Linked DNA regions of Kluyveromyces lactis. The protein of the gene in region 2 purifies or fractionates together with the protein of the main gene of each other region. This does not show direct contact. Links are inferred from orthologs where the notes say so. Each region holds a gene or a part of one and is shown on either strand. Other genes may lie near its edges.

Region 1 (2,278 bases), on a different chromosome or scaffold from region 2:
GTCTTTTTAAACAAACAAATTGCACAAAATAAAATGTTACAATAACTGAACCAGAAAGGTAATACAAATAAGTAACAAACGAAACAGTATAAACTAACCAAGATAACTAAAAACTTATAACAAATTAAATAAATGAAACAACATCACAAGAACTTATTTAAAATCGTTATATAATTCATCCATCTCTGTGAGAACAGTCCTTAATTGTTGTGATGAGTTAGCCAAAAAGTGAAAATTTTCATTGAAAAATTTAAAGAGTTGAAAAAGAGTTTAAAGCTTTTCCACAAAAGGAAAGGTAGGTACGTGCGAAATGATCTGAGGCATCACCACAACAAACCAGGTATTTTACTAGCAGCCGGCTGTTTCTGGTGCGCCCTTGTGCCTCATGTCATTTATGAAGGTAATAATAACTAATAGCAATATGTTGTTGATTAGATATCTTTTTTTTTTTCGTAAATTGATAGGCGTATATATCTCTATGTTTTGTTACATTTGACTAATTAATGTTCAGAGGCTTTGATTTTGTCGTACATCGCCAGGAGTTTGGAAGATGGGACATCTCTTGGCCAGTAATATGCAGTGAAAGACCATAAATGTCTTTTATATTTTTCTGGAGAGGTCTTAGACGAGTCCTTCTTGTGCGATTCGATGTAGTCACCAACACGTTTCAATTCCTTCTTCAATAGGTTAGCCCATTGCTTACGTTCAAGACCGTCTCCTCCAGATCTTAGACGTTTGAGTGAGCTACGGACGTTTGTCATCGTTTTCTTACACTCTTCTTCGTCCATACTGTCGTATTCTTTGTCAGGAAGACGGATATCGGCTTTTGGTGCCAACGGTATGTCTTTACCTTTCCTCTGCTGTTTTTTCGATCCGACGACAGGCGTACCAGATCTTGATGATGGTTGTTGATGGTGATGGGCCTTGCCACGCTTTGTTTCGGAGCTATTGTCTGGTGTAGAGTCCTTGCCGGTTAAGTTAACACTATTGCCGTCACTTGGGGTACCAGCGGTATGGGCATTTTCGTTCCCATTGCTGTTCCCAGCAGTAGTAGCAGACTTCTTTGGTTTACGTTTGTTTTGCTGAGGCGTCGTGGTTCCGGTTGACGAAGAGCCGGCAGGGTGAGATGGATCAGTTTGGGGACCCTTAGCTTCGTCTCTTAGGACAGTGAATAAGTAATCGACTCTTCTACCGAGATGCACAGCACCGGGAGCTTTCTTCACTGTTTTCTTATTAGTGTTTTCAGAAGACGCCGTCACGATTGGTGTGTTTGCCGTAGTGTCAGGAGTTTCTGTCTTTACAGCATCAGCACCAGGTGTTGAAGACCCCGCAACAGATGCCCCTGGAGCAGATGGTGTGAGACTAGGTGCTGCAGGAGTGGCAGCTTTCTGAGTAACTTCATTGTTCAAGAAAAGTTTTTCAGTTAGTCCCAAAAACGGATCATCTCTGATTTGCATCCATGCACCGTAACCATACTTATAGATACCGATTAACAGCTTCTCATCGTCTTCTTTACCCCATACGCAATTCCACGCAGACACAGGTTTTGGATTCTTATTCACGAACTTGAATTGTAACGGGTCGTCTTTGTAGTTTCTTTCCACAAAATTGGATAAGAATTTTAGATTGTCGCGTCTATTAACAAGGGTGTCTGCGTTTAGTGCTTTAGTATCGTGGAATTCGAATAGGATGGCTCTTTTCTCTCTTCTTTTAGCAGATAAAAGAGTGATAGGAGTTTCTTTACCAGCATCATCTTCAGGCTTAATTTCCAAGTTTTTAATTTTCTGTCTGTATTCGGCTGCATCCTTTTCTAACTTACTAAATATTTCATGCCTCTTAGCCTCTTCGTCTCTCATCAAAGTTTCTGCCTCTGTAATCATTTCGTGGTAAAGCTCTTTATATCTATCAATAGATTTTACGGGTAATGATCCATCGGCAATCAGCTCTTCAAACTTGTTTTCAATATCACCAAATCGAAGAATACACTTGTATAATGCTCTGATTTCTCTTTCACCAAAAGCGTCCAAGTTGTTAGCTTTAGATCTCTTTCTAGATTTGGAGTTACCTTCGTCTTCTGAGTCACTCCCAAACGTTTCTCCGTTGACAGATCTCTTAATCTTATCAATGGCAGCAGTTTTACGGTTCATTATATCTAACTGTTCTCTGACATATTCTTCGTCGATACGCCTTTGTTCTTCATCCTTTAGTTTCTTGAGTTCATCTTCGGGGATAATGTCATCCCAATCAACATCAGCTTTATAATCCGTAACTTCAAACT
Region 2 (2,722 bases):
AGATTGTTTTTTTCCCTGTGATTGAGAAATATAGACTAATAATAATGGCATTTTCAATTCTCATCACTGAACTTTCACCGCAATAATAGTTTCGATCATGGGTTTTTGTAACTATTTCCACCCTGTTTCATATTCCTTTGGTCTATTTCCTTTCCTACTTATAGTAGTGTCTCTCTCTCTGCGCCTGCGCTAGTAAGAGCCTTTTCTTTCAGGTTTGGTAGCTATTACACCTATTAATTATATATCCTTTTTAATGAATTAACGACTATCATAATATTACATCTTCTTTAAATCTTAAGCAAAAGAGACATGTGTTTCTGTCCTCTTTTTCAGGTGTTGTATTAATTATATGTTATTAGTATACATGCTTTTAATTGGAAAGCAATCAAAGACAGAAGAAGAATCCCCCAAAGTTAACCATAAATGGAAGATAAGAGGGAAAAGAAAATTTGATGATAGAGAGATGAGAAAACAGATATATATTACCGTTTAGGCATACACTATGAGAAATCTTTTTTGAAGAATTTATGCTCCATGGCTTCTTTTGCAGTTAATCTCTCTTGGTGATCATAACGTAGTAAATGGTCGATCAAATCAATTATTTCGTCCACAGCCAACGGCGTCTTATCATTGGCGAAATAGCTCCATGGTTTCCGTTCGTAGTTCTTCATGATATCGTTGTATTCTGCAGGAAGATCCAATCCGTAATGTTTCAAGTAATAGAATAACTCCTGCGTACCAAGTACCTTGGCAATTTTCACCAATTGATCTGCATTCGTGCTTCCTTTGAAAAATGGCTCCTTCTTGAAAACAATAGCTGCTATCATACATCCGACAGCCCACAAATCTAAAGAGTAATCGTATTGGTTTAAGCTCACCAAGAGTTCAGGTCCCTTGTGATAACGAGACGCCACCCTGATGTTATAATCCACTCCCGGATGGTAAAACTCTGCTAATCCCCAATCGATCAACCTTAGCTTACGTTCATTAGGATCAATCATGACGTTTTGAGGCTTCACATCACGATGCATGATACCCATCGAATGACAATAGTCTAAAGCAGTTAACAATTGTGTGAAATAAAATTGCGTATCCGATAATGTAAACGATGGATAAAGCGTACGGAAGTCGACATTTTTCACCTCTTCAAAGATCAATGCCGGGATTTTGGATCCTGGATCTTGAACAATATCCAATAATCCAATTATATTAGGTCCCCCTGTCAAATTAGTTAACACTTTTAACTCTCTATAAATTTTCTTCATCTTCACTGGCTTGAGAACCTTGATGACGCATGGTATATCGTTCAATACAGATTTCCCTTTGAAAACTTCACTGTATTTACCACGACCAATCTTTTTTATCACTTCATAGTTCGAAATCTTACCCCAATCAATCATCACGCATTGTTCATAATCCCAGTACTCTTGAGGGCGTTTCTCACAAGCATCCTGATACACCCTAGCAACGCTATAAACTCGTTTGCTCTTCTTATTCAACGCAGAAGGTTGTAACGTCGACATGATGAGAAGGAAATCAAAAAAAAAAAAGAGATGACCTCCCTTTTCCCGTTTTCAAAACTTAGAGTCTGATGTGATCCAAAACGGTACTCTCTAGCCTCTGTAGTCTCTAACCACTTCCAACTTCTGGCTGTCTATTGTTCAATTACGTTGAGCAATAACATTTTTTTTCTTTGCCTTCACTTTATTTCAATGTTGAAAACTGAAAGCATTTTGTTTGGAGCCGTGAAAGCGTCGAGAGAAAAAAGATTCGTATGGTAACAATGGATATAAGCTAAGCTTTTGCACCGTGAACCACAATACAACGGCGGACTTTCATATACAGGGAAACTAAGACTATAAAGGAGGTGAATACATTGTCTGGTCAGTTTCAAATTGTTAAGTGAAAGTAGCAAACGTGAAAGAAGACCTCGGTAGGCCTGGTATTAGGGGAATTGGACCTGGAGAGTTGCGCGATGAACCTATGACACTAGAAAAAGAACTTATCTTGAGGCTTAATGTGGGTCATAACACTGTGATAAGAGACGTCCAGTTGTGGCGTGAATTTGAGGACGGTGATGGCCAAATTGCAGTGAAAAATTGTCTGGCAGAAGTTGTTGGAATGGTCAACATTGATAAGCTGCCGTTTTGGCTCAATAGAGGTCAACGGTACCAATGCTTCACTACTAGCGAGACCAGCGTCAATTATTTCAGAGCGAAGTTGATGAGACAACGACACAGGAATCGAGGAATTGTATGTAAAGTAACGGGATCCCAAGTGTTGACGAAAGAGCAATTCGAATATTTCCTATTCTACAAGCGTTTGAAGACCGATATAAACGCGTCTTTCGAAATTGAATCGATGGTACTTCACTTATCGACTAAACACGAACTTGATAAGAAATTGATACCGTTATCAGCCGACGAACTACAATCTGTTGTGCCAAGTAACGCTGGAGCAACGATGTCGATCGAATCGATTCTAGAGAAGAACAAACGTCAGCGAATACTGAAAAGTAACTCGTTGAACAAACAAGTCTTGCTCAACGATCAACAGCAGCAATTTATGTCGTTGCTGTCTCAGTGCATACTTTCAGGACTCAGGCTACGAGGAGTTCATCGAACTCAACACGAAAAATTGTACAAGATGACGTACAAGGCGTCTGAATTCGCTTTCAGAGACGAACTCAGAGAAACTGAACCCATTAGTTTTGAATCGATCC
Region 3 (2,734 bases), on a different chromosome or scaffold from region 2:
ACGCTCAAGAGCTCGTATAGGACCATTCCTTTGAAGGTCAAAATTCTAAACTTACGTGCAAACTTGTACAAATTAGCATATCAACTACGGAAAGCACAACAACCTAATGAAATCATGAGATCTCAGAGTTTAAAAATGATCGAACGATTTGTGAAGGAGCATCAACGCGAATTGAATTTCCAGAACTATATCCAATTGGCCATGTTAGCGTCTCGATACAAAGGCAGATACCTATGTGACAAATTATTTGCAAAGAGCATTGTGACCAGGGACCCAACGGACAGTAGGGCTACTTATATCATATACAGGTCATTGCTTGCATTTTTCGTGAGGTTAAAGGAGCCAAAGAAATTTTTATCAACTTTAAAGAAGTTGAATAACGAATCCCATGTTATCGTCACTAAATATTTGTTGAGTACTGTGAAATACAACATCGCTTACTTTGATAAATTTAATTGTGAGGATACCAACGCAATGATAGTGGAGTATGAGAAACTACGAAAAAGATATGCCTTTACCAAGCTTGAAGGGCTAGATGCCATCAAAGAGTTAATGACGTATCTAAGAAAATGGTTAGATCATGAAGTATACAAGCATCAGACTTCAACTTATCAAAAACAGTTGGAACTGGAAAAGCAGTATAGAAAGGCACCCAAAGAGGTTGTGAAATAGGACACTGGCACAACACAAGCTCAAATAAAGAGCTGTTAAATATATTTCTCTGCGTCCTCGTCTTACCATTGTCATCTCTCCACTTGTAAATAGAATATCGGAGAGAATGAAAACTAGGCCTGACGTATATACCTTAGCATCAACATCATCAACAACAAAATTTAATTCAGCATTTCAATATATGTAAAGATATATGTATATTTATTCGAGAATAATATCCCAATTATAAGAACTCTTACTTAGCCGTACGCTATATCTTCGTCTCTTGTGCATTACATTGTTGCCATTATTTCGTTCAGTTTCTTAAAAAGAAAAGCCCTTAAGACCAAAAACAGGAAAAAACCTTTAAAAAGCTGCGATTGCGAAACAATACATCGCGAGATGATTAGGGATACATTATTCAATTGGATGGCAGGCGAACCCGCTTTATATTAAGAAACGATAACTTCGATCTTCACCTCATTATCAAGATGAACGGACATTTACATACGGTTATACCGAAAAAATCCAATGCGGATCATTTACGAATCGTGGGCAGAGTGCTTGATTCCACAGTATGCACGATATGCCACGATTATATGTTTGTACCAGTCATGACGAGCTGTGGACACAACTATTGTTACGAATGTTTGAATAACTGGTTGAACAACAATCGATCCAACGTATCAGAATTAACGTGTCCGCAATGTCGAAATGTGATTACCAATGAACCATCGTTGAACGTTGCCTTACAACAAATAGTCGATCTGATGCTAGATATAGCAGCGGAGGACCCACAGAAATCGAATTCCTCCGAAGTACGATCACTGCTCACACAAAGAGAATGCTCCGTTGCTGAATACAAGTCTGACCTGTTGGAAGAAACGCTATTCAACAGTGTGTTTAAGAATACTGCCAAAGCCATCATAGACGATGATGACGATGGGATAGCAAGGTGTAGCAATTGCCAATGGGAAGTTGAGGGTCCCGTGTGTCCTAACTGCAATGCTACGATACGGAATTATAATGCGGGTGCACAGAACTTCGACGAAGTTGATGTGGATGAGTACTCTGACGGAGAACTGGAAGAGGTTGAGAGAGATTTGGACAATTATAGAGCCGAGAGTGCACGTACTGTGCACGATTTGGAAGCCGAAGAGGGAGATGAGAGTCTCAGTTCAGAGATGGACCAGGCATGGCCCACAAGACGGCCTAGGAACTTTATGCATGGAGAAGAAGAAGAGGAGGAAGAGGAAGATAGAGGATCGATAGATTCGTTCATAGTGGATGAGGAAGAAGAAGAAGAAGAAGAGGAAGAGGAACAAGAATTGAAAGATGAACGGAAGTTCCGTAGAGCATCTGTTGCCCTCTCAGATGACGATGACAACGAATCTCGCGACAGTGATTTCTACGAACATAATGACGATGGATACGCGAGTGGTGACTCCCTTGACGAAAGTACTAGTAACGACGAACTAGAACCGCACACCATCCGTCTCACTCATAGTCAAGACAACAACAACAACAACAACAACAACTCCGCGCGTAAGAAACGTCTCATAGTCCTAGACTCTGATGAGTAACAATAACAGCGTATATACACCTTGTACAACCTTCTAACGATACTAAAAGTCACGTGTAAACCACCATCACGTGCAACAACCCCGCAGTTACCCTGAATGTCCCCGTATCTTTTCCCAGCCTATGGAGTTTTCGCTGTTTAGAGGGAAGTTGAATTTTCACACCACTCGAAAGCCAGTAGGGGAATATCAGATACTGAGATTAAAAAAAATTTTGGAAGAAATAAACTGTTATGATAGTTAGTTTACACTTGGTGAATACAGTTTTCGATTTGATTCATAGTATTTGTATATTTTGTTTGTTGTTCATCGATTGCCAATACATTTGTTTAATCATAGCCCCAAACATTGAACGATGCCTTCTCCAAGCAAAATTATTGAACTACAAAAGCTGTTCCAACACTCTTCTAAGCCATTGTGGTCTAGACATCCAAGATCGGCTTTCTACTTGTACCCATTCTGGGGTTTGTTTACTGTGGCCCTTGTTGCTCCATTGCTATACA
Region 4 (4,207 bases), about 610 kb from region 2:
CTATAATTTATTTATTCGTGATGAGATGCAATGCATATAACAAATTCCGTCGAAATTTCTTACTTCATATCTATTCTTTAGAAAGGTATTCTTTAGAAGTGTCTCGTAGTTTTGTCTTCTTGTCTTTCATGTAATTTATTACATTGTTAAATGTTATGGTCGTAATGCTTTTAATAAGTTCCTCGTATTCCTCGTTGATCTTGGTAACTGCTTCCGACTTTTCCTGCAATTCTATCTGGAATTGTTCATAAGTGAAAGGTTGCAACGATCGTTGGTATAAATTCGGATGGCGTTCACAAAGGTCGGCAAATAGATGAAGAGACTGCAAAAGAAGACTTGCTAATGTGAGGTGTAGAGAGTAATCCCCAAGACTTCTCTTATTAGATACCGACAGGTTGTACATTTCCGGATAAATAGTTATCACTTCGTTAATAATATCGATAGCATACGCTGAAAGGATATTGAGTCTTATGGCTAATCCATCCAAAGTTTCATCCCTAAGTGCTTCCTTTATCTTCTCTACTCCCTCAGTTAAATCACCTGCAAGAATTTGGTATGCAGAGAGTACAATAGGAAGTATTTGCACTTCTAACTCTTTAGCCCATCTGTTTATATTTCTTCTTGTAGCCAAAAGATCATCGGATGCCTTGGAAAACAATTCGTCATCATGCTCAAGACGTCTTCTTTCTGAGTCTATTCGCATGAAGGCGAATATAAATTCGCTGCTGATTTGCTCCGCAAAAGTAATTTCTCGCGACATAAAATGTGCAAATCCTAAATAAAACTTTCCAAGATCTATTACATCGTTCTTCCCATCATACATCACCAAAAAAGGATACTTCTTCCTCAATAATTCTGTTAGTTTCTCGCTATCCAGATGGTTAGCAGAACTTAAGTTGTTCCCACTCATTATTTTGGTACAAATAAACCAGTGAACCACCCCGATGTGATTATAGGCTTTGATGTTGATATACACCCAATAATGAAAAGTAAACGTGCACTTTCCACTGTTAACTTCTATTATAGTCATCCTCGGTTCAAAATACATTGGAAGCATCTTAGTATGGAATTGATCTCCAGTCACGTGAAGAGAATCAAATCCGTTTACAGTGATATATTCTCCCTTTAACCTGAATTTTTCAAAATTTAGTAAAAAAAAAACGCGACGCCAATAATGCATATATTATAGTTTTAAATTGAAGAGTAACATTAATAATTTTTGCAAACTATACCCATTGTTTAAGAGCTGGCAGGAAATTAAAGCAAAGGGACTCTTTGGTACTTTTATTGAAATAACCTGCAAAGCATTTCGTGGCTCGGTATTTCAAACTCATTGTTCTATTAGGCGTGGCAGTTGTCTTTTTTGGTTAGATATTGAGGACCCCATTGTGCTAATCTCAAGTAACAATGAGTGACGGAGGAATTGAAATTGATTTCCAAGCCTTTTATGATAGGTTTACAAAATTAGGGAAGGCATATTCTGGATTTGAAGGTTCTCCAAATAGTCTTCTCTTTGTACTTGGTTCGACTAATGAGGAAAACCCTTATCAAAAGACCACCATTTTGCATAATTGGTTGCTAGGGTATGAGTTTCCAGCTACATTGATTGCCTTTTTCAAGGATAAAGGTGTCATCATAACCAGCAGTGCTAAGGCGAAACATCTTTTGCCCGCTGTTACTAAGTTTGAAGGATCAGATTACAAACTTGAGATCTGGCAAAGAAATAACAAGGATGCAAATCACAATAAGAAATTGTTTGAGGACCTCATCAAGCTGTTATCAGAAAACGGTAATACTGTCGGTGTCCCAACGAAGGATTCATATCAAGGTAAGCTCATTCTTGAATGGAAACCGCTTTGGGAAGAAGCTAAAAAGACGCATTCTTTAAACGTAATCGATTGCTCTGCTGGTTTGTCTTCTACTTGGAAGGGCAAAGATGATAAGGAAAAGGCTTACCTTTCTGTATCCAGTAAGGGATCTGACAAATTCATGGATCTTATGTCAAATGAAATCGTCAATGCTGTTGACGAAGAACTAAAAATATCAAATTCTAAGTTGTCAGATAAAATTGAAAACAAGATAGATGATTCCAAGTTTTTGAAGAAACTTTCAAGTGATCTAAATCCTTTGTGTCCTACCGACGAGAAATTCGACGTTAATTTCCTTGATTGGGCCTATTCTCCAATTGTGCAATCAGGTTCTAAGTTCGACCTTAAGGTTTCTGCTCGTTCTAACAACGACTCACTTTTCGGAAAGGGTTCCATCCTAGCCTCATGCGGTATCAGATACAAGAATTACTGTTCCAATATCACCAGAACTTTTTTGATTGACCCGACAGATGAAATGACTGACAATTATGACTTTTTATTGATTTTGCAAGAGAAGATCATCGATGATTTATTAAAAGTAGAAGCTGATCCAACATCTATTTATGAAAAGACACTGGAATTCATCAAAGAAAAGAAACCGGAATTATTATCTCACTTTACTAAAAATGTTGGTTCTTTGATGGGGTTGGAATTTAGAGACTCTGCTGGTATGATCAATGCTAAACCAACCGCTCATAAAATTTCAGAGAATTGCTGTTACAATATTTCACTCGGATTTGGGAATTTAAAGGATAGTAAAACTGGTCAGGTATATGCTGTTCAATTAGCAGATACCGTTCAACTTTCTTCTGATGGAAAGCCATCCACTTTGACCAAGTACACAAAGGCTAGATCCCAAATCTCGTTTTACTTCAACAACGAAGAAGAGAACAAAGCTGCAACTGTTAAATCTGAAAAAAGCAAGCCTCCTGCTTTACCAAAACCTGATGGTACATCGAAGATTTTGAGATCTAAGCTACGTGGAGAAAGTCGTGCTGACGATGAAGAGAAAGAACAAATCCGCAAAGAGAACCAAAGAAAACTTCATGAAAGATTACAGAAGGAAGGTTTACTCAGATACAGTGATGCAGATGCAGTAGATGGCGATGAGAAGCCAAAGCATTTCTTCAAAAAGTACGAATCTTACGTTAGGGAAACTCAAATACCATCCAATGTACGTGATTTGAAGATTCATGTCGACTGGAAGAGTCAGACAATCATTCTACCAATCTATGGTAGACCTGTACCTTTTCATATCAATTCATACAAAAACGGTTCTAAAAATGAAGAAGGTGAATACACTTATCTCAGATTGAATTTCCATTCTCCTGGTGCTGGAGGTGTCGGTAAGAAAACTGAGGAGTTGCCGTATGAAGAGAACCCAGAGAATCAATTTGTTCGTTCTCTAACTTTAAGATCTAAGGATGGTGCTCGCATGAGCGATGTTTTCAAACAAATTACTGATCTTAAGAAGGAATCTACCAAACGTGAACAGGAAAGAAAAGCTTTGGCTGATGTTGTTGTCCAGGCTAAATTGGTGGAGAACAAAACTGGTAGGACTAAACGTTTGGACCAAATCTTTGTCAGGCCTAGTCCCGATACCAAGCGTGTGCCAGGTACGGTGTTCATTCATGAAAATGGTATCAGATACCAGTCTCCATTGAGGACAGATTCAAGAATTGATATCCTATTCTCAAACATCAAGAATCTATTCTTCCAATCATCAAAGGGAGAACTTATTGTGATCATTCATGTTCATCTAAAGAATCCTATTTTAATGGGTAAAAAGAAGATCCAAGATATTCAATTTTACAGAGAAGCATCTGATATGGCTGTCGATGAGACAGGAAACAGCAGACGCAACAACATGAAATTTAGAAGATATGGTGATGAAGATGAATTAGAACAAGAACAAGAAGAAAGAAGAAAACGTGCTGCCCTTGATAAAGAATTTAGATATTTTGCTGAAGCTATAGCAGAGGCATCCGATGGTCTCCTAGATGTAGATTCTCCATTTAGAGATCTTGGTTTCCAAGGTGTTCCTTCTAGATCAGCCGTGTTCTGTATGCCAACGAGAGACTGCTTAATTCAATTAGTTGAACCGCCATTTTTAGTCATAAATTTGAACGAAGTTGAGATTTGTATACTTGAAAGAGTTCAATTTGGATTGAAGAACTTTGACATGGTCTTTGTTTATAAAGATTTGACAAAGCCTGTTTCTCATATAAACACTGTACCAATTGAGCAACTTGAATTCATTAAGACATGGTTAACAGATGTTGATATTCCATATACTGTTTCTACAATTAACTTGAACTGGTCGACAATCATGAAGTCGC
Region 5 (3,488 bases), on a different chromosome or scaffold from region 2:
AGAGATCTTCGATGCGGACCCATTCAAGACAGGAAACGTATATTTCAACACTGTTGGGGGAGGTATAGGTATTGGTAGCTCTCAACCTATCATCAAAGCTAACGGTAAAAAATACTTCCCAGGAAATGTTTCACTTACTATTGATTCATCTCTCGAGTTCGGTATATTTAGACATTTGGGAGCAGGTGGGAGTTTTAAGCCTGGCCGTCTAATAAGTGGACGTGGAGAAGAACGGAATTCGTTCGAATACCGATTCATAATCCAAGATGTAGAAGTGTGGGGATGCGGAGGAGAAAAAGAGCTCGAAGAGCAAGTAAAGCAATGGCAATGGGAAGAGGCCGAAGCCAAAAGAAGGCAAAAGATCAACTTACAAAGCATGGGAGAAGATCGTGCATTATTGGAAATGGCAGGTCTTGTAGGGCAACATCAAAGCGGTGGATCTATTTAAAATCGCTAAGTAAATATTAAATATTTGAAATTGCATAGAATTTTTAAATTGATCATTTCTTGCTTTTCGTCTTGTTAATGAGCTTTTTCTTAACGTGTTTTTTTACTTTGGTCTTCCTCTTTTCACGTTTGGCCTCTTTTGTTTCTTGCTTACGTTGTTTTTTAGCATCTTTATCTTCGTACTTTTTTCCTTTCAGTGGAGTGTCTTTATCGGAGACCCATCCATCACCATCAGAACTATCGTTAGTTTCATCACTATCATCATCTTCATCTGATCCAGCTATGTCATCTTCATTGATATCCGTTACGAGGTTAGGGAGATCATCACCATCTACGTCATCTTCCTCGTCATCAGAAGAAGAGAGTTCATATTGCTCCGATGCTGTGAAATTTTCGGAATATTTCCTGTTTTCATTAGCAATTAATGATTTCAGTAGGTCAAATTTACCATCAGTGAATCTATCAAAATCTCTTTCCTCTAAACCACCCAAATTTCTTATCAAATGTAAAGATCTGAACACTTCATCTTCAGCTTCGTCTTCATCAGTCAACTTTAGAGGTAAATTGTCGGCAACATATGTTTCTAGATCATCGCTTGATCTGTAATCACCCTTGAATTTGTCTAAGACCTCACTGATGATGAACTGGAAGATCACCCGTTCAGGGAAAATGTCAATTCCCAATTTTTGGAAATATGAGTTAACATTCTTAATATCCATTCTTAGGAAATCTAGAGACATAGGATGTTCTGGTTGTACGGATTGCGAAACATCAATAATATAAAGCTTATCCTCATGTACAATACTATTATACTCACTCAAGTCTGCATGAACTAAGCGACATACCTGATATAACAGTCTCATGTACGCTATCATTAAATTGTAGTAATGTTTAATTTCTTCTCTATCTTTGTAAGGATGATCTTTAAGCCTCGGAGATGCGAAACCATCTCCTCTATTTAAAAATTCCATGACTAAAACGTTTGATCTAACTTCTATTGGTTTTGGACAAGGTATGACACCGCTTTGGTATATTCTCTTCAAGTTTCTAAATTCCTTTTCAGCCCAAATTTTGATCATCTTACGAGGATTATGTTGAGATCTCGAATTTCTGAATCTAAATTCACCATCAACGTATCTTTCACGATCCTTAAAAACCAAGATAGATGTCTTGTAAATCTTCACCGCGTATTCCTTCTTATTTTTTGGTTCATCAGTGGCAGTTGAAGTGGATGTGGCATCCTCAGATTCGGCAGTTAGAGCTTTTTGTTTTGTTGATTCAATATTTTGTGGGGCTCCTATTGTATCATCATGTCCCTCTACCAGCAGATGTCTCTCCTCATGATTACCAGCAAACGCATGGTACACGTTTGCTTCTTTACCTGTACTCAAACAACCATTAAATGCTGATAATATTCCCCTGTTCATCATGGATTTCAAAAACCTCATCGTACGTGGGTCTAAAACATTCTCTACAGTGGCCCTATTCGCCTTATCTTTGCTGGTTTTACCCCTAGTTAATGATAACTCATCTGTTTTGATGCTATTGGCATACCTCTCTAGGATCTGAGTGTTGACATGCTCATCACGGTTGGCTAAATTCAGTTTTTCCAGCTTATCGTCAATATTCATCATTCGTAGTCCAACTATAGATAACTTCTGCTTTCTGATTTACTAATTTGACAATACACAGGAGCTGAACGGCGTATATTGTTCTGTAAATAACCACTATTCCAACCTCATCGCTCATCTTGTACACCATTAAAGTAAAGTAGCGTACTTTTTTTTTTCCTACGTTTTTTTTTCACGATGCTCTAGACAGGATCGCGAATTGCTTTTCAATAGAGGAAATAGTTGTAAACATTCTAAAACGCTCAGTAGATGAATTGAAAGGTCTACCTGTGTAAGTGGAAGAAACCAACTTGCTTTAACGTCAGGGTTTGTCCTTATTATACTCCTATGCAGCAGCAATCAAATATGGTTCATTTGCCACAAGTATGTTTCTTTTGGGTATTTAACCGCAGTTGAAAGACGTTTTTACATGATCGTTTGATGCATGGTTTTTTTTTGATACCAGTAATATGTACTAACAGATGACATTGCCCTTTAGACATTCCTGTCTTATCCCTTGTACATAGGTGTTGAGGTTGCACTTGGTGTGCTAACCTTCAACAAATTCAGCGGGATGTATGGTGTTCTTGCACTTTTCACTGGACACCCGTTAGACTTTGTGCAATGGACTTTTTACATCTGGTCAATTTTCTGTCTAGTGGTATTCATTTCAGGAATAAGACAAGTTTATAAGCCCAATATCCTCTTAATGTCCACGGTTACTTTTGTGTTCAGTGTGGACACAATTGTTAGTTGCATTTACTGCTTATGGTTCACTGCTGTGTGGTTCAGCCAGGAGGGCTCCACTGACGTTACGGACTTGAAGAGCGCGGGAACCGCACTTGGACCAGCTCATGAGGGAACCACATCCACGATCTCAACTAAAGTAGATACTTCTAAGAGTGCTTCTAGCGGCTATGAATTTTTCCTCATCATATTGCTAACTTTAGTTCCACTAGCAGTCAGATTCTATTTCAATTTCATCATAATTGCATTCCAACAACAACTATTGCGCAGTGGGAAGTTCACATTCGATCAGAACGATATAGAAGTCAATCTACACAACAGAAACATTTTGTTTAAATGGAGATACAAATTCGAAAAATGGTGTTTCTACCTATGCAAGAGATACTTATAGCCCGGTACCCTTTAAACACATCATTATATAGATACGGACTAATATTATCATATAGCTAACATTGCATCATTGTCTTTTCAAAAAGTGGTCCAAGTGGGGTTCGAACACGGAATTAATTCCTAATCAGAGAGCAATTTTTTGATAAGATGCACCATCCTATTGAGAGATCAGTAAGAGTGACTCATAAAAAAAAGCGAACACAAGACCATCAATTGGCACTGGATATGACACACAATGCGTGATCACTCTTGACAGGGTACCTCTTTATACAATGAAGCTTGCATCGCTCATTG
Region 6 (4,178 bases), on a different chromosome or scaffold from region 2:
CAACGGAACCTGGCATGGTGAATGGACGTGGCTCTACAAATGGCTTAATGGCAATAAGCTCAATCAATTCTTCTGACAAATGGCCATATAAGAGATGAGAATCTAGCCATTTCTTAAATAGTCTTACCACTGGAGAGTAGAATGGGTAACTATGGGAAATGTTTTCCAAAGTTCTAGTATGTCTAATAGCAGCTTGGTACTTGGCAGTAAATTTCAAGAATGTCTTTTCCAGCTCTGGTCTTAGTTCTTTTCTTGCGTTGTTAATTGCTCTCAAATACATAACTTCGTCTCTCTCAGTTAGAACTCTAAACTTGAAACCGTATCCTTCTGGAGTCAAAATGTTTAGAGTAACTATTTCCAAGTTGTATGGAATCGATTCATCACGTGTAAAGTAGCACTTGTACTCACTATGAGTCTGCGTGATGGATTCTTGAATCTTCAATAAAAATGCAGCTTTAGCCTTTTCCAACGAAGTAATTTCGTCAGGCCATTTTGTAGACGTTTCGAATTCGATAACAACGTCTTGTAAGAAATCAGGATTAGAATATGCGTATGGGACAGGCTGACATAATGATGTGTACCTGAATGCAGAACCAATAGGTAAAAGAGATTTAATTGATAATGGGAGTTTTAGCTCGAACATGATTTTATACAAATCGTCAAAGGACTTCTTCAAGTTATAGTAGCTTGATAGGTTTAGAACTGATGTCTTTGAAGATGCAGGTAGGTTCGGTAGTGGTAACAACTGTTGGAATTGGCTAGTGGAATTATTGATGAGTTTGCAGTCTTCAGTCAAATGTAGCCTTAGAACATAGGACAAAATCGAAGAAACAACACTTTCAATAGCAGAAGTTGACCAGACACAGCAGTTTGCAATGGAACCGTCCTTGAATCTACGAAGAGATGCTTTTTTACCCCAAAAAATCTTGAATTCATTAGCTTCATTAGTTAATTCTTCTGTGTTCTCTGGGCCCTTAGTCACAAGCTTCTCACATTCTGCAGGGTTGATCAACAGTTTAATTTGGATTGAAGTGAAATTTGGAACAGCAGCAACTTTTCTCTTTGTTACTGGGAAAGTAGATCTATTGTTAACTAGAGCCACTTCAAAAGCTTTGATTCTATCCTCAAGGGCAATCTTCACGATGTTCGATACTTTATTGCAGATGAAATTTTCGAATGATATAAAGCTAATCTTTTCAACGGGACCGAACTTGGACAGTAGTAAATTGATGGATGGGATATCTAAATCATAGTAAGCATCATATTTCACTGTCTTGATCTTGTTTAAGTTAGTTAAGAACATGTTTTCGAACTGATCTCTGACGACGTCATTCAACATCAATAAACTTTCTTGCGCGTAGATCTTTAGCATTTGATAGCTGTTAACAGACATTTTACTCAGTATGTTAACTTTGGTGGTTTTATCAAAGATTGTAGGTGTTTGGAAACCTTCTTCAACGTATTTTGAGGAAGTGACAGTTGCAGTAGTGCTATAGTCGGAATAGAATTGTAAGTACCCATCAGTACAAAGATCCATTGTGGCCAAATATTTGATTACACCTTTGAATAATTGGTAAGATGAGAACCCATGCAATAAAATTCTGTTACCATTCAACCCACCACCATTTAGTAGGGCTGCCATCAACGTGGCAAACTCGAAATTTCCAAAACCACCCAACGCATCTGAATGAGACATATTTGATGAGAAGCCTCTCTGAGATAACCATAGCTTCCCCAAAATACAAGCCTGTTTAAACTGTTCTGTTTGTTTCTTTGATTTGTGTAAGTACTTCAAATAGTGTTCGTGACAAGAAGATGATAATACCGAGAAATTGTAGAAAGGTGTCGGAGTTTCGTTATCCTGACCGACTCTGATACAGTTCTTATTGGGTAGCAACTTCTTTGATTCGAAGAAATTGTATGGGAACCCCACGATCAAGTTTATGCTGAATTTAGTCTTGTAGAAATTATAGTCCGATGAAGTTTTCTCCTTACAACTTATCTTTAATACCGTTTGTAAAGGATCGTTGTTAAAGTATGAATATTCCAAGTGTAAGAAATCCAGCTGGCTTCTTTTCAGGACGAGTGAGATATGATGAGTCAAATACGCGAGGTATACTGAACGCTTGTGGAAACATCTAAAATTCAAGAAATCTTTCTTTTCGAACAACTGCTCAGGCATAGTCAACAAAACGTCTACTGCGGAGCCCTGAGGTTGGTAGATGGCAGTCTTCAACCCGAATGATCCAATTAAACTCACGTCCGGCTTTAAATAATTGAATTTGTACTGTGTGTTCTTCGCTTGTGGTTTTGGATCCACAAACGGAACTGATACCACTTTCCCATGGAAATATTTCTCTACATCTTCTAAGCTTTGCGGAGTCCATTCCGGTACTTCCTGTATCATATCATATAGTTTATGCAAAAACTTCTCCACCCTTACGATGTGTGAGTCCTTCAACTTCACTTGTTCCAATAACTCATCGATTTGTAATTTGAAAATGTTCGATTTGAAGAGTTCAGCCGTTTCTCTCGCTATTTGTATATCCTGGGAGCTCAACTTTGGCTTCTTAGCCTTATGGTCATGTGTGTTTTCCTCTTCCTCGTCTTCTTCCCCGCTGGAAGAGGCAGTAGCCTCTTCCTCTCTTTCTTCTTCTTCTTCTCCAGAAGAAGAAGAACCAGTCTTGTCACTGTCATTTTCAGCCTGTGAGCCAGTAATAGCTTTTACAAGCGCCTTCTTGGTGAAACTACCATTCCTGGACTTCTCACCATCTGGTGCTACACGTTTCACAGAGGCCATAGTTCACTAAATATCCACTTAATTCACTAGTTCCTGACCGTTTGCGCCTCTGGATTGATTATAATACAGAATGATAGCCAGTGCCCGAGTCCTAGGGTTTCAATTTCCCCTAGCCAAAACAGAAGAGAATTACCCTTTTAATATCTAGCAAACTAATACGAGGGAAATCCAAACAAAATCACTGTGATAAACCTGCCTATGGGTACGTTCATTCTATGTAAATGCGAATTCTTTAAACCTTTAAAGCTCATCGCCTGGCAAATTTTTCCAAAATTCGATGTGAAGGATTTTGATGCGTCTGTCACTTTATACGACGTGTCCAATCTCAGTCTCTCTGAATAATCAGTTAGATAGTCAGATACATAGAGTCATACTGGACTAAAGCCAAGTCCAACTCAAGTGCTGGAACTGGTACTATCCCGATATGTAGTAATATAGGGAATACATGGTTTTAGACGTACCGTATTGCTAGTTTTAGTGCACAATGTTACTTTAAGAAAAAAAAAATAGATTCGAGGAAGGTCAGATTGGATATTGAAAAAGATGAATGCCACCTGCCAGAATTGAACTAGCGACCTTTGCATTACAAGTGCAACGCTCTACCACTAAGCTAAGGAGGCACGAAATCTATTACAAATTTTACAGATTTTTTAGATCATTCGGCGGGTTATCTGTTGAGACGGATTAGAAACAATAGACGGTCAAGTATCAACATGAAACATCATTAACCAATCTGAGTTATTATATAAAGAGGCCATAGATCTGGGGAAAGACCATCAACACAGTCATGACAGATCGCCAGGTGCATCAACACACTAGCTATATATAGCTAGTAAACACTATGGATTCATCTGATACCGAAGGTTTTGAATTAATTACACGTGACTGTGACTGCGACAACCAGGATCACCTACATGGCAGCGTCACTGAGTCTCCGCAAGGAAGTAATGATCCGACAAGAGGTATCTGTGAAGATATACAAAGACTCGATATCGTTAGTGATGGTAGTGCTCCTAAACAGAGTTTAAAAGAGGATAAAAATGTTAACCCATACTCAGACTTAGATCCCGAGAGAGAGATATTTGGAGGAAGTACTTACGAAGTGTTTGATAGGGAATACAGATATCGAAGCAGTCTGTTGTTTAGTTATTCCAAGAAGAATAACAACTCGTGTGACAGCGAATATAAAGCTTTGATGACTTTTCCAGGTTCCAAGACAAGACGTCTGTTCATCTACAACAAGTGAAGTCAAAGGACCAATTTAACAGATGGGTTTACTGTTTAATTGGACAATTGAGACTAGCGGGACTAGAGAGTTTTATCCCGAACAAAAGCAATGACTGGTCCATAAATATAATTGACAACGACGAATTATCAA

The links.
Region 1: the proteins of CKA2 (region 2) and CHD1 purify together in Saccharomyces cerevisiae (affinity purification with mass spectrometry; 7 studies listed by BioGRID). This does not show direct contact. The link is inferred for Kluyveromyces lactis from reciprocal best matches to the Saccharomyces cerevisiae genes CKA2 and CHD1.
Region 3: the proteins of CKA2 (region 2) and PSH1 purify together in Saccharomyces cerevisiae (affinity purification with mass spectrometry; 3 studies listed by BioGRID, with this or other methods). This does not show direct contact. The link is inferred for Kluyveromyces lactis from reciprocal best matches to the Saccharomyces cerevisiae genes CKA2 and PSH1.
Region 4: the proteins of CKA2 (region 2) and SPT16 purify together in Saccharomyces cerevisiae (affinity purification with mass spectrometry; 9 studies listed by BioGRID). This does not show direct contact. The link is inferred for Kluyveromyces lactis from reciprocal best matches to the Saccharomyces cerevisiae genes CKA2 and SPT16.
Region 5: the proteins of CKA2 (region 2) and RIO1 purify together in Saccharomyces cerevisiae (affinity purification with mass spectrometry; 3 studies listed by BioGRID, with this or other methods). This does not show direct contact. The link is inferred for Kluyveromyces lactis from reciprocal best matches to the Saccharomyces cerevisiae genes CKA2 and RIO1.
Region 6: the proteins of CKA2 (region 2) and UTP22 purify together in Saccharomyces cerevisiae (affinity purification with mass spectrometry; 4 studies listed by BioGRID). This does not show direct contact. The link is inferred for Kluyveromyces lactis from reciprocal best matches to the Saccharomyces cerevisiae genes CKA2 and UTP22.

The regions. Positions count from the first base shown.
Region 1 is NC_006039.1:1,550,690-1,552,967, reverse strand, and holds the end of CHD1 (chromatin-remodeling ATPase CHD1), read right to left. Parts: coding exon 501-2,278; downstream 1-500. UniProt on the Saccharomyces cerevisiae protein: ATP-dependent chromatin-remodeling factor which functions as substrate recognition component of the transcription regulatory histone acetylation (HAT) complexes SAGA and SLIK. It recognizes H3K4me.
Region 2 is NC_006042.1:1,518,601-1,521,322, reverse strand, and holds CKA2 (casein kinase 2 catalytic subunit CKA2), read right to left. Parts: upstream 1,524-2,722; coding exon 501-1,523; downstream 1-500. Other genes in the region: SLD7 (Sld7p), read left to right, coding at 1,984-2,722. UniProt on the Saccharomyces cerevisiae protein: Catalytic subunit of a constitutively active serine/threonine-protein kinase complex that phosphorylates a large number of substrates containing acidic residues C-terminal to the phosphorylated serine or threonine.
Region 3 is NC_006038.1:766,666-769,399, forward strand, and holds PSH1 (ubiquitin-protein ligase PSH1), read left to right. Parts: upstream 1-1,142; coding exon 1,143-2,234; downstream 2,235-2,734. Other genes in the region: PET111 (Pet111p), read left to right, coding at 1-672; COX7 (cytochrome c oxidase subunit VII), read left to right, coding at 2,587-2,734.
Region 4 is NC_006042.1:906,571-910,777, forward strand, and holds the start of SPT16 (chromatin-remodeling protein SPT16), read left to right. Parts: upstream 1-1,407; coding exon 1,408-4,207. Other genes in the region: KLLA0_F09867g (uncharacterized protein), read right to left, coding at 71-1,180. UniProt on the Saccharomyces cerevisiae protein: Component of the FACT complex, a general chromatin factor that acts to reorganize nucleosomes. The FACT complex is involved in multiple processes that require DNA as a template such as mRNA elongation, DNA replication and DNA repair.
Region 5 is NC_006041.1:1,885,045-1,888,532, reverse strand, and holds RIO1 (protein kinase RIO1), read right to left. Parts: upstream 2,082-3,488; coding exon 501-2,081; downstream 1-500. Other genes in the region: RTC5 (Rtc5p), read left to right, coding at 1-448; KEI1 (Kei1p), read left to right, coding at 2,406-2,441, 2,557-3,195. UniProt on the Saccharomyces cerevisiae protein: Required for the final endonucleolytic cleavage at site D converting 20S pre-rRNA into the mature 18S rRNA. Required for the final steps of cytoplasmic maturation of the 40S ribosomal subunit.
Region 6 is NC_006040.1:1,246,613-1,250,790, reverse strand, and holds the start of UTP22 (rRNA-processing protein UTP22), read right to left. Parts: upstream 2,801-4,178; coding exon 1-2,800. Other genes in the region: KLLA0_D14762g (uncharacterized protein), read left to right, coding at 3,642-4,046. UniProt on the Saccharomyces cerevisiae protein: Involved in nucleolar processing of pre-18S ribosomal RNA and ribosome assembly.